Arabidopsis thaliana: one gene and its partners. The gene in region 3 interacts genetically with the main gene of each other region. Each region holds a gene or a part of one and is shown on either strand. Other genes may lie near its edges.

Region 1 (7,717 bases), on a different chromosome or scaffold from region 3:
CTAATACGTATGGAATATATGAACATAGAGCAAGGGAGAAAAGTAAAAGGGGAAAATCGACTTGAATCTGATTCGATTCCGTCGGGAAATGATACAGTTGGAAGATAGGTGATTGATTACCTTCGATGGTCATCGCCATGTCGGCGAATGAAAATGTTCTGATTACCGGAGATCGAGTCTTGAATGATCGCCGGTGACGATAAAAGAGAAGGTGATGATTTCGTTGTTCCCCTTAGAGAGATACAGAAGGAGAGAGCCCAGAGAGGAGTCGCGATTTGAGAGCAAAATGAAAATTAGTGACCGGTCAAAATTGGTTTTCTCACCGTTCATCGATTTCATCTTTTTGGTTTGGTTGGTTTATTTTGGTTATAATTGGTTTCCAGGATTGTGGTTTTGATAATACAGCTAGTAGTCGATTTTAAAATATCACAAACTAAATGACATGAAAAAAAAATTACGATCAAAATTTGGGTTGCAAGGACCACATAAAACTCATTCCTAAATCATACGTAATAAAAATGATTTTATAACTGAAATTTTTAACCAAAGTTCATACCAATCATCAAAATATGTGAAATGCTAAATATTTTTTTCTTTTCATTTTTTGTTATTTAAATGCAATCAACTATGATTGAAACTGCATCAACGAAAAAGTATTATTAAACTATTAAGCAACCATAAGTTGAGTTGATTCGTTTCCATAATTTTAGTTAGAGTACGTAAATCTCCATCATAATACACTATCTATGCTATCATTGTTTGTTTTTTTTTTCTTTTTTTTGCTAAGAATGTAAATATCATTAGAAATGAAATGTTTGGTATTACAAGAGACGTATTACCTAAATTAAATTAACCTTGGCAAAAAGAAATAAAAACAAGGTTAAGATAAAGAGTAGTTAATCAGGAGAGATTAATGGATCCAAAGTAGCATAAGTTGTTTCCAATGCTTTCTATGTCTTCGAGAAGTAATGGTATTGCGCACCTCACGATCTATGCTATCATGGTTGGTGCGTTTATGACATGCTGCTGCTGGTGACGATTCAAAAGTGTTTATCAGTTGTTCATTATGATGCCATTGTGATGTACCATTACTAATTTCTTACTTAAATAAGGTGTTGTTTTTTGTTTTGCTCCAAATAATAAGGTGTTGTTTAAAAGGGGCTCTTTCGTTTTGGAGTAAAAGTCTCTCTGAGTAGCTGTATATTATTTAAGTAGCATAGTCCAATTATTTGACAATGAAAAAAAGTGTATAGTCCAATGAATACCAAATGAATTGACGTCACCACTAGTTGAGACCTGAGACAAGCAAGTGATCGTTAAATCAAGGAGAACGCAAGTGGACGAGGCCGACATGATCCTAACTATTGGACTCCCACTTGTGAAACTTACTTGATCCATTTCCCACTTCATAATTTCGTAAAAAAATTAAGACAATGAGAATGAATTTATTTATTTATTTTTCGGTAGAACAATGATTTTTATTTTGTCCAAATAAAACAATCGTGAAAAATTATGTTTTGGACATTATCAACTTTGTGAGTAAAACAAATTTTGTAGTTTCTTTTAACCAATATTTTCGAAGTCAACTTTTTTCTACGTGTGAGTGTATTGAGTAAATGATAGATATGTCAATAATAACATAACTCATCAATCAATCTGGCTTCAATAGAACTAGAGAAGTTATAACGTTTTTTTTTTTTTAGACAAGAGGGTTTTATAACTCTAGACTAGTTTCATAGTCCATGAAAAAAACATCAAATCTCCTAAATGGCTGGACATAATTCAGATGATTTTGTATGAAATAAAACATAAAACATATATTTTCTTGCATATCTGGAGATTTTTGTTTCTTTATTACAATGACTAATTAATTTACCTTGTTCCTTTTTATTTTTGCAAAATGATTACTGTTATCTATTTTGTCCGTTTCTAATAAAATAAAATAACAATCTGAGCTGTGGAAAGAAAAAAAAAGGAAAAGCGAGGAGAGCTAATCTGAGTCGTTGCCTCTGTCCACTGGCTCGGACCGACCTCGTACCTCTTTCATTTGTCCTCGAGCTTATAATAGAGGCTACGCCGTCGCCGCCACCTCCGCTCCATCCATTCACGGCCAAGCGACGACTCCACCGCTTAGGCTTGGCGTCTGAGGTATACTGATCAACGCTTTCTGTTTTCGGAGGAGCGAGGCGGAGATCAGCTTCTCTTATGTCTACTCAAACATATCATTCTTCTTTAGCCACTCGATTTCTTCTCTAGCGGCTCCAGAGGTTTCGTCGCTACAGAGTCAAGTTCCTCTTTTCAGGTTTTGTGGTAAGTAATCGTTAAACCCTAAGTATCGGACCTTGTTGTTTAATCTGTTCGTGTTTACTCTCAATTACATATGCATTCTTCTGCTTAATCGTTTCTTTTAGTTTAATTTCTAGGGTTTACATCCCAAAGGTCTGATCTTTTTGCATATTTGTGTGAATCTTAGTTTTTTTTTTTTTTTTTGGAATTGAATGTGATGAGTTGGGTTTGATACTGTTAAAGATCAAATCTTTAGCTTCGTTGAAGCTTCATATTTATGTCAACAATGCAAGGTTTATTTTTCTTCCACCTTTGATTTGATATTTATAATTGTTTCTTTGAAGGTGAACAAGATTTTAGTTACAAAAAAATGGTGGGACTGGAAGATGATACTGAGAGAGAGAGGTCACCAGTCGTAGAGAATGGTTTTTCCAATGGGTCTCGGTCTTCTTCTTCTAGCGCAGGTGTTTTGTCTCCATCACGAAAGGTCACTCAGGGGAACGATACACTTTCTTATGCCAATATTCTTCGGGCAAGAAACAAGTTTGCTGATGCGCTTGCTCTCTATGAGGCTATGCTGGAGAAAGATAGCAAGAATGTTGAAGCTCACATTGGAAAAGGGATATGCTTGCAGACGCAGAACAAAGGGAATCTAGCTTTCGATTGTTTTTCTGAAGCGATCAGGTTGGATCCGCATAATGCTTGTGCCCTTACACACTGTGGTATACTTCATAAAGAAGAAGGACGCCTCGTAGAAGCTGCTGAGGTGCAACATTACATTACCTTCTATCTGTGATGATTTGCATTAGAGGGTGCTGCATTAGTTAGACCATTGAACTTGTTAAATTGGTGATATGCAATTATGCATTAGGTTTTTTGCTAGGTAATCAGTTTCTAACGATTAATCATCATATTTTGCACAGTCCTACCAGAAAGCATTGATGGCAGATGCATCATACAAGCCAGCAGCAGAGTGTTTAGCCATTGTTTTGACCGACCTTGGAACTAGCCTGAAGCTGGCTGGGAATACTCAGGAAGGAATTCAAAAGTATTACGAAGCCCTTAAGATTGACCCACACTATGCTGTAATTTTCTGTTCCTCTACCATTTCACACTCTTGGTACCATTTAACTGATTCTCTAATTCAGTATGTTATAATATATTTATGCAGCCTGCATATTACAACTTAGGTGTTGTATACTCCGAAATGATGCAATATGACAATGCCTTGAGCTGCTACGAGAAGGCTGCACTTGAGAGGCCTATGTATGCTGAAGCATATTGTAACATGGGTGTCATTTATAAGAACCGTGGTGACTTGGAGATGGCAATCACTTGTTATGAGAGGTAGCATATCTGTTAATTCATCTCTAACTGTTGACTGGTTTCTTGCTACTTTGTTGAACGTGCAAGTAAGGCGCTGATTTTTTTCTCTTCTTCTTCTGCCTTTAGATGTCTAGCTGTGTCTCCAAACTTTGAGATTGCGAAGAACAATATGGCCATAGCTCTGACAGATTTAGGAACAAAGGTAAGAATCCTTAAATTTTATCACAATTTATAACTCAAGTATACTTTTTGTAAGGGGCGCCTTCTGGAAAATTCGTTATAAAACTTCGTTTTGTTTAGCTCCCCTTTGTGCTGTGTGTGCTTTGTACTTATGTCACGGCAATGGCATTGGAATCTGTTTATGTTCTTTACTAGTGAACTTTTGCGCTGAATAATTTTGATTTGCAGTTTCTTAATCCTTCTTTTCCATTGGCGAGAAGCTGTTCAGCTGTGAGTACATCTGACTTGTCAAATGTCAATGATATTTCAGGTTAAACTTGAAGGCGATGTAACCCAAGGAGTGGCATATTACAAGAAGGCTCTCTATTATAACTGGCACTATGCAGATGCTATGTACAATCTTGGGGTGGCTTATGGAGAAATGCTAAAGTTCGACATGGTATTTAATTTGTGATTTGTTCATTTCTGTAAGTCAGTAATGGTGTGGTTGTTATCGCGTGTTTATCCTTTCCTCGCCACTTTACTCGCTTGATAAAATGATATATATCTTGACTAGTTTATCTACCTAGATTTTTATCCTTCTCCACATGTTCTCGTAATTAATCCAAAACTCTGTATGTAGATCTCTATATTATAATGGAATTGTAGAGCCAAAGAATGAAATATGTCTGTGGTCATGATTGCATTCTCAATGTGCAGGCGATTGTCTTCTATGAGCTTGCTTTCCACTTTAATCCACATTGTGCTGAGGCTTGCAACAATTTGGGAGTACTTTACAAAGACCGTGACAACCTTGATAAAGCTGTGGAGTGTTATCAGGTAATATTTTTGCAGATATCTGTAGCGTTTCATGAGAATTTCATTGTGTTTGGTGGCTTATTATATCTCCCAACCTATGTAGATGGCTCTATCAATCAAACCAAATTTTGCACAGTCGCTTAATAACCTTGGTGTCGTCTATACAGTCCAGGTTTGATATATATTAAGGGCGGCTTAATGTTTTCTTAATTGAATCTCCTAAGTCGATAGAATGCCAATTCCTCTGATATTACAGGGGAAAATGGATGCTGCTGCCAGCATGATTGAGAAGGCTATACTTGCTAATCCCACATATGCAGAAGCTTTTAACAACCTAGGTCTGTTTTCTCATCTTCTGTTCTTTACGAGCTTCCTCACGTGTTACAACTGCTTAGAAACTATATTCCTTTGAAATTTAGATTTTATGTTTGTCCTTTTGTTTCTACCTCCCTGGCGCTAAGAGTCTTGTAGTGTCTGTGATAACCAGTTTCATGGTGCGATTCAAATGTAGGTGTTCTTTACAGAGATGCTGGAAATATAACTATGGCTATCGATGCTTATGAGGAATGCCTTAAGATAGATCCAGATTCTCGCAATGCTGGCCAGGTATCTATACTTTAGCGTGGTCTTCTTGTTATGAGGTTGAAAGATATATGTGTTTAAAACCTTCTTGTCCCCTTTTGTAGAACCGATTGCTTGCCATGAATTACATAAATGAAGGACTCGATGACAAACTATTTGAGGCTCACAGGTAAGCACATATATTATTAATGTAGATTTGTATTATGTTGCTTTTATGGGTCTTACAGTGAAAAAATCTTCTGAACACAGAGACTGGGGTTGGCGCTTCACAAGATTACACCCTCAATACACTTCATGGGATAATCTGAAAGATCCAGAGCGACCTATCACCATTGGATATATCTCACCAGATTTCTTCACTCATTCAGTATCTTATTTCATTGAAGCTCCCCTTACGCATCATGATTATACAAAGTACAAAGTGGTGGTTTATTCAGCGGTAGTTAAGGTAGGATTTTTACCTATATAACTTATATAGATACATTTTCCCTCTAAGCAATTCATTTCCTGGTTCTCGTGGCATTTTTCCCTTTTGAGCAATCATTGGTCTCTCATGGCTTTGCAGGCAGATGCAAAAACATACAGGTTTAGGGATAAAGTGTTGAAGAAAGGTGGAGTTTGGAAGGATATATACGGGATAGATGAGAAAAAGATAGCAAGTATGGTCAGAGAGGACAAAATCGACATTTTGGTAGAACTCACTGGTCATACGGCAAACAACAAGTTGGGAACAATGGCCTGCAGACCAGCACCGGTTCAGGTGAGAGGATATATTAAACCTATCTCATTTTGTTGTTTCGGGTTTTGCCTTTGACTTTCCATTTCAAGTGTACTTATATTGGCTAAGATACCAGGTTACTTGGATCGGCTATCCAAATACTACGGGTTTGCCCACTGTTGATTACAGAATTACAGATTCGTTGGCTGATCCACCAGATACCAAACAAAAGTACGTTTTGGTTCAAGATGCAATTTTGGGTTTCGGAAGTGCTCCAAATAAAAATCTTAATTTTTATTTATTTATTTTGTGATATTTGATTGCAGGCAGGTCGAGGAGCTGGTTAGGCTTCCGGACTGTTTTCTTTGTTATACACCTTCCCCAGAGGCTGGTCCTGTTTGTCCAACACCTGCGCTTTCTAATGGCTTTGTCACATTTGGTAGTTTCAACAACCTCGCAAAGGTTAAAAAATTTGTGTCCTTGGATTATGCACACCAATCTCCCCTAGTATCTCTTTCAATGTTTTGACAGGTTTATCTCTGTTTGTGCAAATCAGATAACTCCTAAGGTGCTGCAAGTGTGGGCTAGGATACTGTGTGCAGTTCCCAATTCTCGTCTAGTGGTAAAATGCAAACCTTTCTGCTGCGATAGCATTAGGCAGAGGTTTCTCACCACGCTGGAGCAGCTTGGGTTAGAATCAAAGCGTGTTGATCTCTTGCCTTTGATTCTTTTCAATCACGACCATATGCAAGCCTATTCCTTGATGGATATTAGGTAAGATTTGACACATAGTGCTCTGTAAAACACCGAGGCTTATAGATTCACATATTTAATTTACATTTATTGCAGTTTGGACACATTCCCTTATGCTGGAACTACCACTACCTGTGAGTCTCTCTACATGGGAGTTCCATGTGTTACAATGGCTGGCTCAGTACATGCTCATAATGTTGGTGTCAGTCTTCTCACTAAAGTTGGTAAGCTCTTAGCAAAATTTTTTTTTTTTTTTTTGCAAAAATTGTTGTTAGTCGGACATCTTTTAGCTAATTCAGCCATTTCTTGATTCAGGATTAGGACACCTGGTTGCCAAAAATGAGGATGAGTATGTTCAGCTATCTGTTGATCTAGCCTCTGATGTCACAGCTCTTTCTAAATTGAGAATGAGTCTCCGGGATCTAATGGCTGGATCTCCTGTTTGTAATGGTCCTTCCTTTGCTGTTGGTCTTGAATCCGCATATCGGAATATGTGGAAAAAGTACTGCAAAGGTGAAGTGCCGTCCTTAAGGCGAATGGAAATGCTGCAAAAAGAGGTCCATGATGATCCCTTAATCTCAAAAGACTTGGGACCATCAAGAGTCAGCGTTACTGGAGAAGCCACTCCGTCTCTCAAGGCCAATGGTTCTGCTCCTGTACCTTCCTCTTTACCAACCCAATCCCCGCAGCTCTCAAAGAGAATGGACTCCACTAGCTAGATAACCAGCAAATCGAGCTGCTGCGAAATGCCGGCAGAGAGTCTTGACCCATCTGGAAAAGGTGTGAAAGAAAGAGTCGATGAGCTTTTCCTGCTATTTACTTCCAAGACAATAGGAACTAGACTTTAGATTACTGCTTGTGTAGTAAAAAGAATAGTAAAACCAGCTCTTTCTTTTGTTGTATCTCTTTCTACTCTTAGTTTAGCTTTACATGATTCTTGGGAAGTCGTTAGGTGGTAGTGGATTTGGAGTTTTTCTTCTCATTTGAGAGATCAAGTTGTTGTGTATCGATTAGGGTTTTAAGGCTTTTTAGGATGTTTTCATGTGTTGGATTTTGACTCATATGATAGTAAAT
Region 2 (6,715 bases), on a different chromosome or scaffold from region 3:
TTAAACAATGGTATTGGCCAGAGGATGCAAGACTCAGGACGTTAGATACGATATGATATGTCGGAAAAAAATCACTTTCAGTCCTCATTAGATGATTAAGCTTCTTGTGATGATCACTTTCTTATTCTCCTTTATGTGGTTGTTAGGTGAGAGCTTTCGAGAGGCACTGTGGATCGTTGTCTCAGTACGGAATAAAGCACATGAGGTCGATTGCAAACATGTGCAACGCAGGGATTCAGATGAGGCAAATGGAGGAGGCAGCAATGCAGGCTTGTCCCACCATCCCTACCAGTCCTTGGAGCTCTCTTGACCGTGGATTCAGTGCTTGATCTTCGTCTCCGCCCTATATTAATCGATGTCCATTAATATCTTACTACCAATTATACTCCTTCCTATGTAGACAAGATGTTGTAAATATGGGATGCTTAAGTTCTTGATGTCACAGACAAAAGAAACAGTGATTGTAAGTAGTTGTTTCAAATAATCTTTGTTGTTCAAGTGATTTCAAGGCTTTAAGACAAATTAACACATATAAATGAGGCTTACACCATAATACGTTTACATGGTACATATATTGAGGATAACATCTATCACAATTTTTCTAATTTTGTAAAATACATATCAAGTACAATACGCATAGAGAGGATTAAGGCTTAGAGGAGTCATAGCGTTTACGTTCTTCTTGTATTGACTGGAAAATTCTGGCAGCATTCTCACTCGCGAGCTTTGCGTTGTGAGGTACCACCTTTATCACTCTCGTCACTCCTCCCCCATCTCTTGTTGTCTGAGTAACAGTTGTTCTTGTCGTCGTTGTGGTTGTTGTCATCGTTTGCTCAGGTGCATTGTTGATGTTGCTGTCCTCATCAACGGCTGCGAATGGCCGAAAGGACTTGCTACCAGAGATTCCCTGTGGCCCACTTGGACTGCTTCCTGTGCTCCCTTGCCTGCTCTTTCTTGCTCGCGGATAAGACTTTGTTGGCTGTTGCTGTTGCTGTGGAGCAGGTTCATTATCAGATCTCTGTTGTTGTTGTTGGGTGTTCTGAAGATTTCCAGGATGTCCAAACTGGTTCATTTGCTCATTGGGTTGTTGTTGTTGTTGTTGTTGGCTTGAACAATATGGGTTCATTATGGTGGGCATCATTCCATATGGAGGGAAGTAGCCATTACCAGGAGGTGGGAATCCCATGCCGGGGTGATATTGAGGCATTACCATTGGTGTAGGCATATAATGACCATAATATCCTCCATAATGCCCCGTGTGTGCCATACCTGGGTGAGGCTTGTATATCAGTCCTTCCGAGGGAGACATTACAGGGATCAACCATTGCTGATGATTTCCTGAAGGAGGAGGCTGAGGAGGAAAGCAATATCCATTTGGAGCCGGTGAAGCCGGTGGGTTGTTTGCAAAAGGCATGTAGTTGGATTGTTGATGATGACCTTGATTTGACAACCTCCCAACTACGTTCTCAGCTGAGCTTTCCATTTTATGTTGGTCAGTCTTCTCCGAGTCACCCCTTTGTTTGACGACAACATGTGGTAGAGGAGGCTTTACCAGAAATTCTGATGGAAGGAGCTTCTTCACTGGATAGCTTTTAGCAGAAACTTTTCCAAGAAAACTGATCTCATCGAGCAAGAGATCCGGTGATGCAGCAATAAGTTTTTGAACCTGATTATTACACAGTTGAAGAGGTTTGTTTCAGCTCGAGAAGAAACAAATACTCATGGAAACATATGAGAAGTTTCTGAATGACTTTACCTTAATCAGTCTGTGCAACTCAAATAGTTGAACAGCAAATACTCTTTGTTGACTGTAATGAGAAACAGAGTCACATTAAGAAGATTATCCATCAAAAGTTCAACAAAGAGAGACATAGTTTAGGTTGAACAGCTAATGGAACAATACGATCGAAATGAGATAGGAAAAAAGAAACAAGAATACATAGCCAATCAAAAAAGATAGAAGAAAACCAAATCAATGGGTCCAATGACATATTAAAGCATAGATAACAATGCAAAGGACGGGCTTATTGAAATCTAGCTTACAGCGCAGCTTATCCTCTGCAAAATGAGATGTCAGATATTTAACAAGAAGCAAGAAATAAAAATCTTATTATTTGCATTGGTCGTGAATCCGATACCTTACCATATGGATTAGAGTACATTGAACCTTAAAAGTTAAGTCATGAAGCCTACAATCATAAAAACTCTGTAGTTCACAACCACACTAAGGATCCTCTTAAGCAGTAGTAAGAAGAAACTATAATTCTGCATCGTCATAAGACTCAAAACTAACTTTACGTATGGTTAACTAAAATTTAGATCCTGGGGTCCTCGGAAAAACATTTCCCTACCTGGTTCAACCCCTTGAATGACAAGTAGGGAAAATGCCCAAGACGACAGTGCAGAATAAAAGCAATACCAAACCGAGACAGGGACATGTTCCAACAACCAGATGCAAAGAAGGTATAGTAATAAAGCCATCGGCGGGCACCTTGCACAATATAGGTCAACAGAGAATGTCCCTCCCTGCTATAACATGATCCAACGTGTTAAACGCGTTAATATTCTACCGAGGACTCTACAACTAAACACATAATAGGACCATTTTAGATGAATCAGGGGCCTCTCAACTATAGAACCATCACTTCTCAAGCATAAACCTGAAATCTCTTTCTCCCAAAATGAGACAGAATATGAAACTGAGTTATAGTCATATATGTATATCAGCAATCAATTGCAGCATTAATCATGAAAAAAAATATGAAGGAGAGTGTTCTAGAAATTTGAAATTTGGTGATAGTGAAATATGCCCTACCACAGTCCTCAATGAAAATAGCAAAAAACAACAGAGGAAAAAGCTTCAGTAAGACTACGGAACAATGCTTAAATATTAACTTCTTTCAAGCAAAAAATGTTGGTATCAAAGAAGGAGATAAATAGAAAGAGCGGAGAATAAATAACCAAACTGTAAATTTCTAGTGAACTTACTTGGCAATGGCTTTCCTTGCTCTCCAGAAACGTTTTTGACCTAATATACCCACAACATCATCGGGAGAGACATCTATGCTGGATATAGAATCCACCATCGAATCATCAGAAACGTCATCACTTGCCTCTTCATTTATCTGCTGCAGAGAGGCGCATGCTCTGCTTTTGCTGTATTCACGATCATTATCAATGTCTTCAGGACTGCCATGACCCTCTTGTGAATGATTTTCCGTTGCCAAGTGAGATTCAGCTCCATTATCAGTGTCCTTCAGACGAGTTTTGCCACCATCTCGGTATAACCGATTTCTAGACTCTTGTCTCAAGGAAGCATTATAATCATTTACTCTATCATGACTTGATGCTGATTTTTCGAGATCAATCTCCTCTGTGACTGATACATCTAAAGAGATTACAAAGCCACCTGACCTTGCATTCGCCTTGACCTGATCCCTAACTTCAGGTTTTGAACAAGTAGCCAAACATACGTTTTGCTTTGAGCCTGTCTGATTCACTTCTTGAAATCGAATGGAGTGATGAGAGCTAGGTGCCACCATTGGGGTGTGTTTTTCCTTCTCAATACCACTCTTGGTTCTGCCATGAGACTGAGATCTTCTTGAGTTAATATATACTGGAACTGCAAAATCTTCTTCCTCTCTCACCATTTTCCTCTGATCATGCTGTGCCGAAGATCTCACATTTTCCATGAAGGACATTTGGGAGACAAACTTCTCAGTTGCTTGGTTTGCGGCTGAAGAATCAAGATGCTGGACAGATAAGTTTCTTTCCACACCACAAGGCTGCATTGAAGAGGGTAAAAAAGGATTATTTCTCATGTCCTTGCAATAGTCTGAATGCTCAGGGCAATCACAAGAAACTTTCATCGAACTTCAGAACATAAAAAGAATCAGGCACAACAAGAATGTTAGTTTTAAGAAATAAACCACACTTAGATAAACTTGTGTCTACAAGACTCTCATATATACAGGAGAATTCAATCCTAAAAGCTCAATCCATAAGCAAAAAGAAGATACTATGATCTGATAACAATTGAAACATAGATCAACCAATGTCCTACTTTCTCTTTCAGGCTATATAACATCCAAACTCATACAACTAATAACATCAAGAGCCTATACAATGATCAAAATCAAAACAATACCTGACTAGATGGTCCAGGATGAACCAAAGTGCTTGTGTTGTTACTACGAGAATTCATCGTTCCATGATCACCAAACCTCTGAGAAGGAATACTAAGCTGCTCATAAAGAGCCATCTTGTTTCTAGGAGGAGCTCTAGGCCCTCCTTTATCTGCATCATTCACATGAAGCCGAGGAAACATAGGTTCCAATATCTTCTCCTCATCTTTCCCTCTCTTCATCACTCACAATTCACAACCTTTTTCACTTGCAAACTTCTCAAACCCCAAATAACCTAACTTCACACCAAAAATCTTCCCTTTCTCTTAATAATTCAACCTAAAAACTGAGAAAGACTCCAACTTTCACAACAATAAGCTTCAATAAAACAAACCCACCAATCAAATGAAATATCTTAACCCAAAGGACAAACTACGATAGAGATCTCACCACCAAACCAATCAGAGAAAACGAAATCGAAAAACAGACTAAAGAGGAATCAAACAAAACCAAAGTGAGTTTTCAACGTACTAATCGAGAAACAGAGTGGGTGAATCAAGTAGAGAGAGCAAAAAGGAACAAGATTCAGAGGAAGGAAGAAGATGACTTGTGAACAGAGAGAGGAAAGGGGCAAAAAGAGATAGGAAAAGTGGAGCCCAAAAAGATAGAAGGAGAGGATCTCTCTGGAGATATTATAGATTTAATCCATTTGGACATTTTTTTCACCACCGGAAAAGTGCGTGACGACGTGGACTCTTTTTGTCGTTGTAATAAGAAACTAGAAAGTAAAAAAAAAAAACATCATCCAATACATCACTTTTTGTTTTCTTTTAGGATACGTAAAATGTCATAGATATATTACCATGTTAGAGGTTCTTTGATCAGTGCTTTGTAATGTTGAATAAAAGATTGTTTTCAGCTAAATGAAGTCTGTTTGTTTTTTCTTTTCTAGCAAATGAGTGGAGTCATCGACACGATTAGATTACTTGAAGATTCTTTTCTAGGGTTGTATGAAATTATAGGGGAATATAATGTAATATATGTGGATGTGAAGAGTAATTATATAATCATGCAATCTTCCAACTCACTGAATGAGGAGAGCTCCGATCTGTTAGGGATTTCCAGAATTGAAAACAAGAATATGGAAGTTGAAGATCATGCATAAACTGAAACAATTTCTTTGGTGAAACACAGAGCCGGTCCAACGTTTTTAATGCCGACGTAAATTAAAAAAAACATGTATTTCTCATTTTTCATGAATTTCGTAAAATCGTTTCTGAATTTTATACAATCTTTTCTGAATTTCTTAGATATCTTTGGATCGACAAAGTCCGATCCATAGTCAATCCCTACTATGCGGGATAACGCGATTTAGTGGGATCGAACTCCAGTAGGGTGGGTAGGTGGAGTCAAATAGACACGCCCTATGTTTTGTTAAGTTGAAATCCAAAAATATGAGTGAAAGAAAATCCAAATAATATTTATCTTAAAAAAGCCTAAAATATAGTTTATGTTTAAAAAAGGAAACTTAAAAGATAATTTGTCTTAAAAATGCTTCCAAAATTTTGATGCCCAACTCCATTCATTTCCTTGCTTGGAATGTGGGCTAGGCGGCCCAGGCCTAGAGAAACATAGCAAAAGCTCTAGGAGCTGTGATACGTTATTGGAAATGTCCCACTTGGACACTCTTATTTACTAAAACACGTTTCAAATCCATAGGACTAATAATTGACAATATATACCAACGGTGATATGCTGCAGCTGAAGACATCAACCCCACATTTTTCACTTGTCCTGTATCTAACGTTGATATTGTCCCAATTACCTTGTCTCCCTTTGTTAACTCCATCAACAGTTTGTGAGAAAGAATATTAAGAGGTTTTTGGACATGTATCAATTACAAAACCTTTAGGATCATCAAAAGTTACTTCCGTTTTTAGATACTTTTATATATTGCTTATTCGGAAGTAAAGAAACAATCATATTTACCAAAACCAACAAGTGAATGTATCCTTCAAAAGATAGAAGTCCCAAGTTGTGATGCTAAGGAATGGATTGGGGCCTTTGTTATGTATAAAATAAATTTGCAGGGGTTCCAAAATCCACCAACTCAAACTATCATGGACTTGTCCTGTATGGTGTCGTAAAATGCAACTACGATCCATCTTACGAATAATTCTAAGCATGTTATATAATTGGGAGTGGTCGGATAGTGAGAAATCATTTCGGAGTTCAAAATACTCGGTGGCACTATGAATATATAGCACTAATACCTCTGGAAGCTTAAGGTAAGGAATTACCAATGGTACTCAAAATAGTTTGGTCATACGGTTATACTCGCTTTCACTCTAAAGGAGATTGCGAATTTTTGGTAAAGATTATCAAATATCAATGGATATTGATGTTGGAAATATGTAGAGATATCCAGTGGTGGAGCCAGGAATTTTATTTATAAGGGTCATGAAATATATAACCTAAAATGTTTCATCTTTCAAAATAAAAAATTCTCCCATTTATCCTTTTTGTTTAGTGTATCATCAAGTACTTTTTATCACCAATACACTTTTTGTTAATATATAATATATATTGTG
Region 3 (4,808 bases):
GAATGACAAAATTTACTAACAATTCTTATAGTACTGAGCTCTCCTGTCCAATATTTAAAAATGCATACATTTTTTTGTGTGTAACTAAAATTAGTAGAAAATAAATGCTAGTCGTTAAAAAGTGCATATAGCAGATTTCGAGTTTTTTTTAATTGCGATTTCGATTATCAATGGTCGATCGTAGACGTCTTTTTTAGTAAACAAATCTGAAATTTCTATGAAGGTTACCAAATATTTTGGATTTCAACCTAAGATGAAGTTAACCTATGGACGTGTAGAACAGTGGCTGAAGTCTGAAATGATAAGATAAAGTTCAATATGAATACATTACTGAGATGTTACAAAAAACTACATCACTGAATAATTCCTTTATTTTCCAGTTTGGACAGTAGAACCTATCGCTAATTATTTAATTACCAATTAAAAGAAAAAGAAAGAATAATTCCTACAGTTGTTAGGCTATGGTTATAAGTTTCATCTTTGAACTTAAGAAATGCTCTAATTAGTGGTAATGGTAGTTACATCTATATATGTTGATGCAATGTCAAAAAGAAAATCTCTCAAATTAGCAAATCCATACCTATTTATAGACGCATAAGTATATATACCAATTATCCTGGTCGTGCAAATGGATGGTTAGTATTTTTACAACCAAACTAATGTCTAATTTTAAAAAGTAATCATTATTTTGCTTTAGATTTTTAATAGTTAATATTATATGTATAGATAGATTACCGTATGATATAATTGTTTCAAGACACTAGATACTATCTCAATTATAAAACTCACTTTTCCATAATATGGCCGCTTGTTTATAAAAAAAGAAGAGAAATAAAACAATTGATTTGGTTTATATTATTTAATTGCAGATATCTTGTACTTAATTCATTTTGAGATAATTTTGCGTATTTGAGTTCGGACATTGGTAGGTATGGACGATGAAAATAACTGCCTTCATTCTACATGTTTGAGATTTGTTTGTCGACCATATAACACAAGCGGCTAGAAAAATAGGTGACTATTCTCAAATGTCCTGGTTCTATCTAACCTGAAGGATCCCTTGTTCTACCTGGTATAACTACAAGAAAAGGCTGTTTTATAAAATATATCATTTCTTCTATGATTTCTATCTCAACTTTTTTTTTAGTTTTTTTCTTTTAGAACGTTTTCGCTTTCGAATTTTTTAAGAATTTTTTTTTTCTTTATATCTCTAAATAATAGTTTTAAAAACATAACAAGTGATACTGTAATTTTTTTTTCTCTATAAACTTGGCGGTACCCTACTTTTTTCTTATTTTTATTAATAATCTTACTTTGTTATGATAAATTATGTTAATATATGGCAAAACTAAATATATATGAAACTACTGATTACTCATTATCATAATTAATATCTTTGTATAAAAGTAAATAATATTTAGTCGAGAGAGGTATCTTGTTAAAGGAAATAAATCAAAAATTAGTGGCTACCAAGTGGGAGATATAATTTGGAATATTTCCAGTGTATTAGTGTGGTGGGTTTGGAATACCACAAACAGAAATAAAAAGAAAGAAAAATATGAAATAAGACGACAATGTGTGATGTACGTAGAATCAGTTTTAGATTCTAGTACATCAATAGACAAGAAAAAGATTGTGGTTATGATTTCACCGACCCGAGTTAATGCAAATCCGAAACAGTATAAATATGTGTAGAGGGTTCATGCCTATGATACAAATTAAAGAAGCAGAAACAAAAACAAGTAAAACAGAAACAATCAACACAGAGAAACCACCTGTTTGTTCAAGATCAAAGATGTCTATAAATATAAGAGACCCTCTTATAGTAAGCAGAGTTGTTGGAGACGTTCTTGATCCGTTTAATAGATCAATCACTCTAAAGGTTACTTATGGCCAAAGAGAGGTGACTAATGGCTTGGATCTAAGGCCTTCTCAGGTTCAAAACAAGCCAAGAGTTGAGATTGGTGGAGAAGACCTCAGGAACTTCTATACTTTGGTTCTTTCACTTGAACTCCCTTTTGTCTCTTTTCTTCTTTAGTTTCTTCAGTGCTTCTTACACCTTCTTTTTTAAAATAGAAATTATTTTCCTTTTTTGGGGTATACTGAAAATATTTCTTGGGCATGCAGAGACCTTGGTTAAAAATGCCCCACGCTTTCCTTTTCTCTGTTTTTTTATGATTTATTTGGTTTTACTTTATGATACCCAAATCAAAAACTAATTTATATTTCATTTCTTTTTTCATGAAGATGGACCCATAAAATATTTCTTCCTATCCTAAATTAAATAGAGATAAATTTATGATCTATCCCAAATTTTTTCCACCAACTTCTTGCATAAGTGATTATTATTTAGGATAAGAATCTTGGGATTTTTCTTTGTTCCTCCTACCTAATAATTTAATTTGCATTTGTTTTTTTTTGTTTTTTTTTAAGTATAATTTTTTACTATACTTTGAAAATGGCATTTTTGAAATATCCTTTTTGCTAATTAAAATATCTGCAAAAAGATATAGAAAATTGATGTTCATTAAAACAAATATATATATTGATGAATCTCTGTTGTGGAATATTTGAAAACTGTTTGAATAAGGATATTCTGATATTCAAGCCAGCCTTTAAGATACTCTCTGCTATATATAGACATGTAGCTACTACCTTTTTTCTATTCATAGTTTTCTTCTTCTTTCTTGTGTTATCTCATTTTCCAAACTTCAAAAAAGAAAAAGAAAAAAAGACCTTTTGCTTTCTTGATTTCTTTGAAAATGATAATCTTATCTTCTTATAATTCTTCGTCTTATTTGTTTAATGAAGGTTATGGTGGATCCAGATGTTCCAAGTCCTAGCAACCCTCACCTCCGAGAATATCTCCATTGGTTTGTGCACTAACTCAACTCTTTAATTAATTCACTTTTAAGTTATAGCATAGCTCAAACATGTTGCTCGAATTATATATATAGACACTCAACTACACATGTAAAACTGGACATGTATTTTGGATACTTTGAAATTGAGTAGATCACTTATAACTTAAGACTCAAACATTTTACATTTAATAGAAGGAGACATATAAAATCAACTTCGAGAGTGCGATGCATCAATTTGTCTCCCAAAAAAGCCCACACCCAAGCTAAATTGACATATTTTGTTCAAAAACTTTACTATGTGTAATGTAAATATGTATTATGTATGTCTGTGTATTTTACTGATCGCACATAGATTCTATAGAATGTATAGGACGTGACTTGAACTAAGATTTGTTTTTTTCACTTTAAAGTGGTCTTTGTACGGGAATATCATTGAGCTTAAAATAGCCTGATGACATCATCATTGTTCCTTGAAGTGAGCAGGACTAGGTTTCCTGTTATATCACTTTTTATTTTTATTTATATATTCATGCACTTGAATGTTATTGCATGTTTTGCTAGTCACTTGCACTAGTAATCTAGGAATTAGTTACGTTGCTATTATTTTTTTGTAAGAAAATAAAGTTTAAGTAGCATTTCAATTCTGTCAAAAAAAGAAGTAGCATTTCAATTATGTTGTGGTGCCATAGCTTAAACATGTGTATGGCTATCTCTCATTACAGGTTGGTGACTGATATCCCTGCTACAACTGGAACAACCTTTGGTGAGTTTTATTCTATATATTAGATCGCTAGGTGTTAGAAATATAGAAAGGTATATGAAATAGCCTAATTAATTAGTTACTAGCTAGAAAATTCACATGTTTTGATGAACTTTTTATTTTTCAGGCAATGAGATTGTGTGTTACGAAAATCCAAGTCCCACTGCAGGAATTCATCGTGTCGTGTTTATATTGTTTCGACAGCTTGGCAGGCAAACAGTGTATGCACCAGGGTGGCGCCAGAACTTCAACACTCGCGAGTTTGCTGAGATCTACAATCTCGGCCTTCCCGTGGCCGCAGTTTTCTACAATTGTCAGAGGGAGAGTGGCTGCGGAGGAAGAAGACTTTAGATGGCTTCTTCCTTTATAACCAATTGATATTGCATACTCTGATGAGATTTATGCATCTATAGTATTTTAATTTAATAACCATTTTATGATACGAGTAACGAACGGTGATGATGCCTATAGTAGTTCAATATATAAGTGTGTAATAAAAATGAGAGGGGGAGGAAAATGAGAGTGTTTTACTTATATAGTGTGTGATGCGATAATTATATTAATCTACATGAAATGAAGTGTTATATTTATACTTTACGTGTATTCATTTCTTTTCGATGCAAAAATCAGGCAGTGGGAAGAATCTGCTGTTTTACTTTTGGGTTCCATAATACACTTTTTTGTGTTGCTACTAAAGTACTGATAATATCCAAGTCGATCATTATATATCAAACTAAAGAGTTTGCATTCAATACATAAGCTAGAAAAGTAGAGCAATATTTTGGTTTTAAGTTTATGGGCTCACGTATGAAGAAACACATGTGTAAGATCGAATCCTAGGATCAAACCTTAATTATTAAATCCTTGAAAGGTAAACATATGAAGTATTTATACATTCTGAAGATTAATTACTAATGGACTTCGACGTTAGATCTTGTTCCCATGATAGAAAAACGTTTTTTTTTTAATTTGGGATAAATACGAGGAACAACTTAAGCATTTATGTTTTATTTAAAAGCGGTTTAGGCGGTTGTATTGGCTCCGTCTAGACGTTATGCTGTCAAGTTATGGTTAGATCACTGATTCAACGCCTAAAATAGTATAAGTTTCGATTTAATGTATTTTCTATTTTAAAATTAAATTTGAGTTTAAAACTAAAAATAAAACACTTTAGACATCCAAAA
Region 4 (6,231 bases), on a different chromosome or scaffold from region 3:
ATAGATAGATAGTTAGTTGTAACTAGGATAAGATAAACATTTTTTTTCATCGAGTTATTGCAATGATTTTTCTCTAAAGTGTAAAATTCTACAAAGATACAATAAAACATCTTAGGCCAATGAATTGAATTATTTGTTATACATATACAGTATACAATTATATGGAGATAAATTTTAGTATCTCTACTCAAATTAGACAATTTGTCTACAATATTGTTATGTGTCATAAACTCGTCCACAACACACAACATTCATCCATTAGGTCCCAATGATCAAAAGTATAGTAGTAAAAAGTAAATCATTGTGGCGACACTTTTTTTCGTCTCAGCCATTTCGAGCTTACTCTGCACATGCTATACATCAACCGCTTCCTAAAACCTACAATTATAAGGTATTAATTTCATAGCTCACAACAAAAGGAACAAAATACATCTTTAAATTCTACAAAAATAAATCTAGAGTTACAACTTCAACCGAGAAAGTCTATCAATGCATATTTCCATTTAAAGTGTGACCTGTCATTGTTAAAAGTTTATTATTGTTGAATAAATTTAGTTAACAATTTCGTTTATCTGTTTTTAATATTATGGGAAGGAGTCATTTTTCACTAAGCATATAGATTTTCTAATGAGTATCCCTATATATATATATATATATTAAACTTCTTTTTTCGGTCAATACAATTTTATAATCTTTCATTTTTTCTATCATTTCATATCATTGTAACTATAAATTTTCGTAAATAGACCTTTAGTGTTAATACAATAGATTTTTATTAATTTTATATCGGATTTTGTTTAAAAAAGAAAAACCATAGGATGGATGATGATTGGTACTTATAAGATTGTAATTGGGTATTTTTGGATTGTTACCACCATTACAAAGCTATTAACAGAGATTGAAGATATCACACAATGAGAGCGCCACAGCTTCAGCAACGTCCCATGCAGCTGATGTGCCTTCGCCTTTCTCTTCCTCATCTGCGCTTATAAATAAGGCAAAGCAACTAGAAAAGATTAAAACCAAAACCAAAACAAAAAACTAGTTAAGACCCTGATTTTGTTTCATAGGTACATACACTTTTCAACATTGATTTTTGTTGTTAAAAATAAAATCCATGTGAAGGTTCTCATCATATACCGAAAGAATGGGAAATTTGAAAATTCCATACTTTTTTAAAAAGACAATTTGTTTTATCACTTTAGTTTTTTTATATATTCAGCGTCTACCAAATCTACACTTTTTTTTCTTTCTCGATTTAGTTAATCTTCGTTCTTGTGTCATGTAATAGATTACTATTTCAAAACATAGATATTTAGTTATCTAAATAAAACTAGGCCATCCATGGATGGTTTCAATTTTTTTTTTCATATGAAAGAAAAGTTAAATTTCATTTCACAATAACCATTGATTACTAAATTTAGTAAAGAATCAATTGGGTTTAGTGTTTACTTGTTTAAGGTTTTTTTTTTTTCTTTTGTTATGGTTCTATACTAATATCAAAGAGTTATGGGCCGAAGCCCATACATCTTTCCGTCGAGAATCTCATATATTCTTTATCGAAGCCCATACATCTTTCCGTCGAGAATCTCATATATACCTTATCCCATTCAACATTCATACGAGCGCCGCTCTAGGGTTTTTGCTTTTCGCCATTGGTCCAAGTGCTATTTGGTTGTTTAAGGTTGCTTTTAGCACACAACTTTAATATTATTTTTATGTTTTTCTTCTTACGATTTATCGATTTGTGGGATACTGACAATCAGATTATTGTTGTTTTTTCCAGCCAAATATCAGATCTTGCGCCGCTCTTTATCCCATTCAACATTCATACGAGCACCGCTTTACGGTTTTTGCTTTTCGACATTGGTCGAAGTGCTATTTGGTTGTTTAAGGTTGCTTTTAGCACACAACTTTAATATTATTTTTATGTTTTCTTCTTACGATTTATCGATTTGTAGGATACTGACAATCAGATTTTTGTTGTTTTTTTCAGCCAAAAATCAGATTTTTTTACATTTTGTTTAGAGAATGATTTTGGTTCCCGATTTGTCTGTTTTTCGCTTATGTGTAAAGTACTTTGAAAAATATTGTGTTAACTCTACAATGGGTATCCCAAATTTTTGAGTTCTTTTGTCTTGTTCGTTGTCGAGACACTAGAAATGTTAATTTAATTCTCTTCTTCCAAAAAGAACCATTTACTGGTTCATTCTCTACTTGAATTTTATTCTGGTTGTATTTCTTTTCCAGTATAAAGCAGATTGTTTTTTGTTATTTTTCAGTTTAGATTGGCTTTGTCTCTTTTGAGTTGTTGCAATTGTCAAACTTTGGAATGAAATAGTAAATAATCTTAGGTTGGTAGTAAATCTTAACATTGTGTTTTTGGGGCATAATTTATCGATAAAATCTTCAGCATTAAAACCAAAAAGAAAAAACTTTTTAAGTCTTTTTTGTTTGGTGGTTAATATAAAGTTTATACGTGTATTAATTTGATCACACTCACTATATGTCCAGGGAGCTAAACCTCTATATCGAGTACTAATAGTATGCAATGTCCAGGTTATTGCATTGAGGGAAAATGAATGGACAAGGTGATTTGGATGCGGTTGGAAACATTCCAAAACCAGGTGAAGCTGAAGGCGATGAGATTGATATGATTAATGATATGTCTGGTGTTAATGATCAAGATGGTGGAAGGATGAGAAGAACCCATAGGCGCACTGCTTATCAAACTCAAGAACTTGAAAAGTTTGTTCACTTTCTTCTTCATTTCATCATCATGCAACATTTCCTATTATTTTTTTTATTTTTTTATTTTGAGTTTGGAATGTTTCTCTTTACTTTGCTCTTTACTTTAAAATGAGTGTAGTTTCTACATGGAAAATCCTCATCCCACTGAAGAACAGAGGTACGAGCTTGGACAAAGGCTTAATATGGGTGTCAATCAAGTCAAGAATTGGTTCCAGAATAAAAGAAATCTCGAGAAGGTACCAAAAAATACAGAAGTGTATACATGCATGTGGCTGTGTCTTTTCTTATTCTTTGCACGTACCGTATTATGGACCATGTTTCTGCCCTATGTTAAAAACAAATACTGTATATAGTTTACCACCTCTCTCTCTCATCCTCAAAATCTGCCTTGATTATGGTATAATTATTGAGTGTGGTTTTTTGGGTAAGCAGATCAATAATGACCACCTTGAGAATGTAACTCTTAGAGAAGAGCATGACAGATTGCTAGCAACTCAGGATCAGCTTAGAAGCGCAATGCTACGTAGTTTATGCAACATTTGTGGTAAGGCAACTAATTGTGGAGACACTGAATATGAGGTGCAAAAACTTATGGCTGAGAATGCTAACTTGGAGCGGGAGATAGACCAGTTCAATTCCAGATACCTTTCTCATCCCAAACAAAGGATGGTCAGTACATCCGAACAGGCGCCTTCTTCTTCCTCTAATCCAGGAATAAATGCAACACCAGTACTTGATTTTAGTGGTGGAACTAGGACGTCTGAGAAGGAGACATCAATTTTTCTGAATCTTGCCATTACGGCTTTGAGAGAGTTGATTACATTGGGAGAAGTGGACTGTCCATTTTGGATGATAGATCCAATCGTTAGATCCAAAGGAGTATCAAAGATCTATGAGAAGTATAGAAGTTCTTTCAACAATGTCACAAAACCTCCCGGGCAAATTGTGGAGGCTTCAAGAGCTAAAGGTTTAGTTCCCATGACTTGCGTGACTCTGGTCAAGACTCTTATGGACACAGTAATAACCTTTAAACCACCACCCATTTTTTAGTGAAATGTTGTTACATGAAATGTTAACAAGTTTTTTTTTTTTTTTTTTAAACAGGGCAAATGGGTCAACGTGTTTGCACCTATAGTCCCTGTGGCATCAACCCATAAAGTGCTATCTACCGGTTCTGGTGGAACCAAAAGTGGCTCACTCCAACAGGTATAATATATATAGTTTTCTGAGTCGTCTATATTGGTTGATAATCCAAGAGAAGTAGAAACATTTCAAATTTGTGATCATATAATTTTGGCAGATTCAAGCAGAATTTCAAGTAATTTCTCCGCTGGTACCAAAGAGAAAAGTAACGTTTATTAGATACTGCAAAGAGATCAGACAGGGCTTATGGGTGGTCGTCGACGTTACTCCTACTCAAAATCCGACTTTGCTGCCCTATGGTTGTTCTAAGAGGCTACCCTCAGGCCTTATCATAGACGACCTGTCCAATGGGTACTCCCAGGTTACTTCTGAATCCTGTTCTTTGAACAATATATGTTGGTTCACTTGTTATTACTCGCAATCATAATTAATGATCTATCAGAGCATCTTGTACTGTGGAGACATAAATAAATGGTTAATGGTTATTATTATATTCACCACATGTATAACACATAGAGATTTGATTTCACAGGTTACATGGATTGAACAAGCGGAATATAATGAGAGTCACATCCACCAACTCTACCAGCCTTTGATTGGCTATGGGATCGGGCTAGGTGCAAAGAGATGGCTCGCGACGCTGCAGAGACACTGCGAAAGCCTCTCGACCCTTTCATCTACCAACTTGACTGAAATTAGTCCAGGTGAAAGCTATTTAAATTATAGAATAAATCTCATTACAACTACTTTTTAGGTCATTTTCGGTTCTCCACTAAATTTGGACAGGCCTTGATTGTGATATATGTTTTCGATATAGGATTGTCTGCAAAAGGTGCAACTGAAATAGTGAAGCTAGCACAGCGAATGACTCTCAACTACTACAGAGGTATTACGAGTCCTTCGGTGGACAAGTGGCAGAAAATTCAGGTGGAGAATGTGGCACAAAACATGAGTTTCATGATCCGAAAGAACGTGAATGAGCCTGGTGAGCTAACTGGGATTGTGCTGAGTGCATCCACTTCTGTTTGGCTCCCAGTGAACCAGCATACACTCTTTGCTTTCATTAGCCACCTGAGTTTCAGACACGAGTGGGATATCTTGACCAATGATACTACCATGGAAGAAACAATCCGGATTCAAAAAGCAAAACGCCATGGAAACATCATCTCTCTTCTGAAAATCGTTGTGAGTTTCAAAACATTTATTTTTGGTTTAATGAGTGTCGTTTTGTCTATGTTTCCATTGATTTTCGTGAGTTTTGCAATGCAAACAGAATAATGGTATGCTGGTTCTGCAAGAGATTTGGAATGATGCATCAGGTGCAATGGTGGTGTATGCACCAGTGGAAACCAATTCTATTGAGCTGGTCAAGAGAGGTGAAAATTCAGATTCTGTGAAGTTTCTTCCTTCGGGATTTTCGATAGTGCCAGATGGAGTAAATGGGTCATATCATAGAGGCAATACTGGTGGAGGATGTCTACTGACATTTGGACTTCAGATCTTGGTGGGCATCAATCCAACTGCTGCACTCATTCAAGGTACTGTCAAAAGTGTCGAGACACTCATGGCTCATACTATTGTCAAGATCAAATCCGCGTTAGATTTACAGACGTAACCATCAGCAGCTCCAGTTTCCGTTGTTCCGCAAGAAATTCGACATTGGCTTGTGCCCTAGTTTGCTTTTCCAACCAAGACTCTTCTGGATTAACTTTTTTATGCGTTTGTTGATCTGTTTGCTGGATATTTCTTGCTTCCTTTCTTCTTTCCTTTTCTGAAACTCTCAAATTGTTACAAACCAGAATTAATAGAGAGTTAGAACAATATATTTCGTATTCAACATTGATGGAGATCATGCTTCACTATATCAGGTGAAAAATGCATTCCAGAATTCTAATAACTACTAGAAATCAAGCTGAAAAGAAACAGGGTTGCGGGTGGAGAAAAGATGTACTGCAACACCGGATTAGAATCCATCTCTCTAATTCTCTTTTCTTGTTATACTAATACACATAAGTTAGTACGCAACTAACAGATGATCAAGACCTTGCAGTTGCTATAATGTTAAGATTAAATCAAAATGAACAAGTTGGTTTTAGTCTGATTTTGCCAGCAATCTTCCAAGCATGCTTTAAAAACTCGAATGCTTTCCAAGGGTCCTCTTCAGAGAGAGCAAATTTCAGGTCTGCAAACAAGTCACCTAGAGCCGAAATAGATTCTTCTGCGCCTCTCGGTTCTTCATGTCCTTCTGGTTCTCCCATGCGTGTATTTCTCTCTCTTGCACGTACCTCAGCTTCCAATTTTGCAGCCATTGAAATGGCTCGACGTATACATGATGGA

What was found.
Region 1: of FT (region 3) and SPY, changing one suppresses a phenotype caused by changing the other (phenotypic suppression), as found in Arabidopsis thaliana (one study listed by BioGRID).
Region 2: of FT (region 3) and ELF3, changing one suppresses a phenotype caused by changing the other (phenotypic suppression), as found in Arabidopsis thaliana (one study listed by BioGRID).
Region 4: of FT (region 3) and FWA, changing one suppresses a phenotype caused by changing the other (phenotypic suppression), as found in Arabidopsis thaliana (one study listed by BioGRID).

The regions. Positions count from the first base shown.
Region 1 is NC_003074.8:3,630,186-3,637,902, forward strand, and holds the start of SPY (Tetratricopeptide repeat (TPR)-like superfamily protein), read left to right. Parts: upstream 1-1,701; 5' UTR 1,702-2,310; intron 2,311-2,630; 5' UTR 2,631-2,656; coding exon 2,657-3,052; intron 3,053-3,209; coding exon 3,210-3,371; intron 3,372-3,457; coding exon 3,458-3,633; intron 3,634-3,738; coding exon 3,739-3,814; intron 3,815-4,102; coding exon 4,103-4,231; intron 4,232-4,491; coding exon 4,492-4,611; intron 4,612-4,693; coding exon 4,694-4,762; intron 4,763-4,846; coding exon 4,847-4,928; intron 4,929-5,101; coding exon 5,102-5,196; intron 5,197-5,276; coding exon 5,277-5,341; intron 5,342-5,421; coding exon 5,422-5,620; intron 5,621-5,737; coding exon 5,738-5,932; intron 5,933-6,026; coding exon 6,027-6,121; intron 6,122-6,216; coding exon 6,217-6,352; intron 6,353-6,446; coding exon 6,447-6,664; intron 6,665-6,739; coding exon 6,740-6,867; intron 6,868-6,958; coding exon 6,959-7,362; 3' UTR 7,363-7,717. UniProt on the Arabidopsis thaliana protein: Probable O-linked N-acetylglucosamine transferase (OGT) involved in various processes such as gibberellin (GA) signaling pathway and circadian clock.
Region 2 is NC_003071.7:11,057,110-11,063,824, reverse strand, and holds ELF3 (hydroxyproline-rich glycoprotein family protein), read right to left. Parts: upstream 4,882-6,715; 5' UTR 4,367-4,881; coding exon 4,148-4,366; intron 3,948-4,147; exon of another isoform or gene 3,786-3,947; coding exon 2,989-3,785; intron 1,809-2,988; coding exon 1,757-1,808; intron 1,667-1,756; coding exon 647-1,666; 3' UTR 501-646; downstream 1-500. Other genes in the region: ALPHA-VPE (alpha-vacuolar processing enzyme), read left to right, coding at 147-329. UniProt on the Arabidopsis thaliana protein: May be a transcription factor part of a circadian clock input pathway. Acts within a 'zeitnehmer' feedback loop and is involved in its own circadian regulation. Has no role in regulating circadian clock function in the dark.
Region 3 is NC_003070.9:24,329,715-24,334,522, forward strand, and holds FT (PEBP (phosphatidylethanolamine-binding protein) family protein), read left to right. Parts: upstream 1-1,658; 5' UTR 1,659-1,663; coding exon 1,664-1,996; intron 1,997-2,811; coding exon 2,812-2,873; intron 2,874-3,586; coding exon 3,587-3,627; intron 3,628-3,751; coding exon 3,752-3,975; 3' UTR 3,976-4,285; downstream 4,286-4,808. UniProt on the Arabidopsis thaliana protein: Component of the mobile flower-promoting signal (floral stimulus or florigen). Promotes the transition from vegetative growth to flowering. Required for 'SEPALLATA3' (SEP3) and 'FRUITFULL' (FUL) accumulation in mature rosette leaves.
Region 4 is NC_003075.7:13,036,734-13,042,964, forward strand, and holds FWA (FLOWERING WAGENINGEN), read left to right. Parts: upstream 1-1,626; 5' UTR 1,627-1,684; intron 1,685-1,786; 5' UTR 1,787-1,895; intron 1,896-2,559; 5' UTR 2,560-2,578; coding exon 2,579-2,748; intron 2,749-2,869; coding exon 2,870-2,987; intron 2,988-3,183; coding exon 3,184-3,768; intron 3,769-3,855; coding exon 3,856-3,957; intron 3,958-4,051; coding exon 4,052-4,255; intron 4,256-4,426; coding exon 4,427-4,598; intron 4,599-4,711; coding exon 4,712-5,079; intron 5,080-5,167; coding exon 5,168-5,509; 3' UTR 5,510-5,731; downstream 5,732-6,231. Other genes in the region: homolog of DNA mismatch repair protein MSH3, read right to left, coding at 5,967-6,231.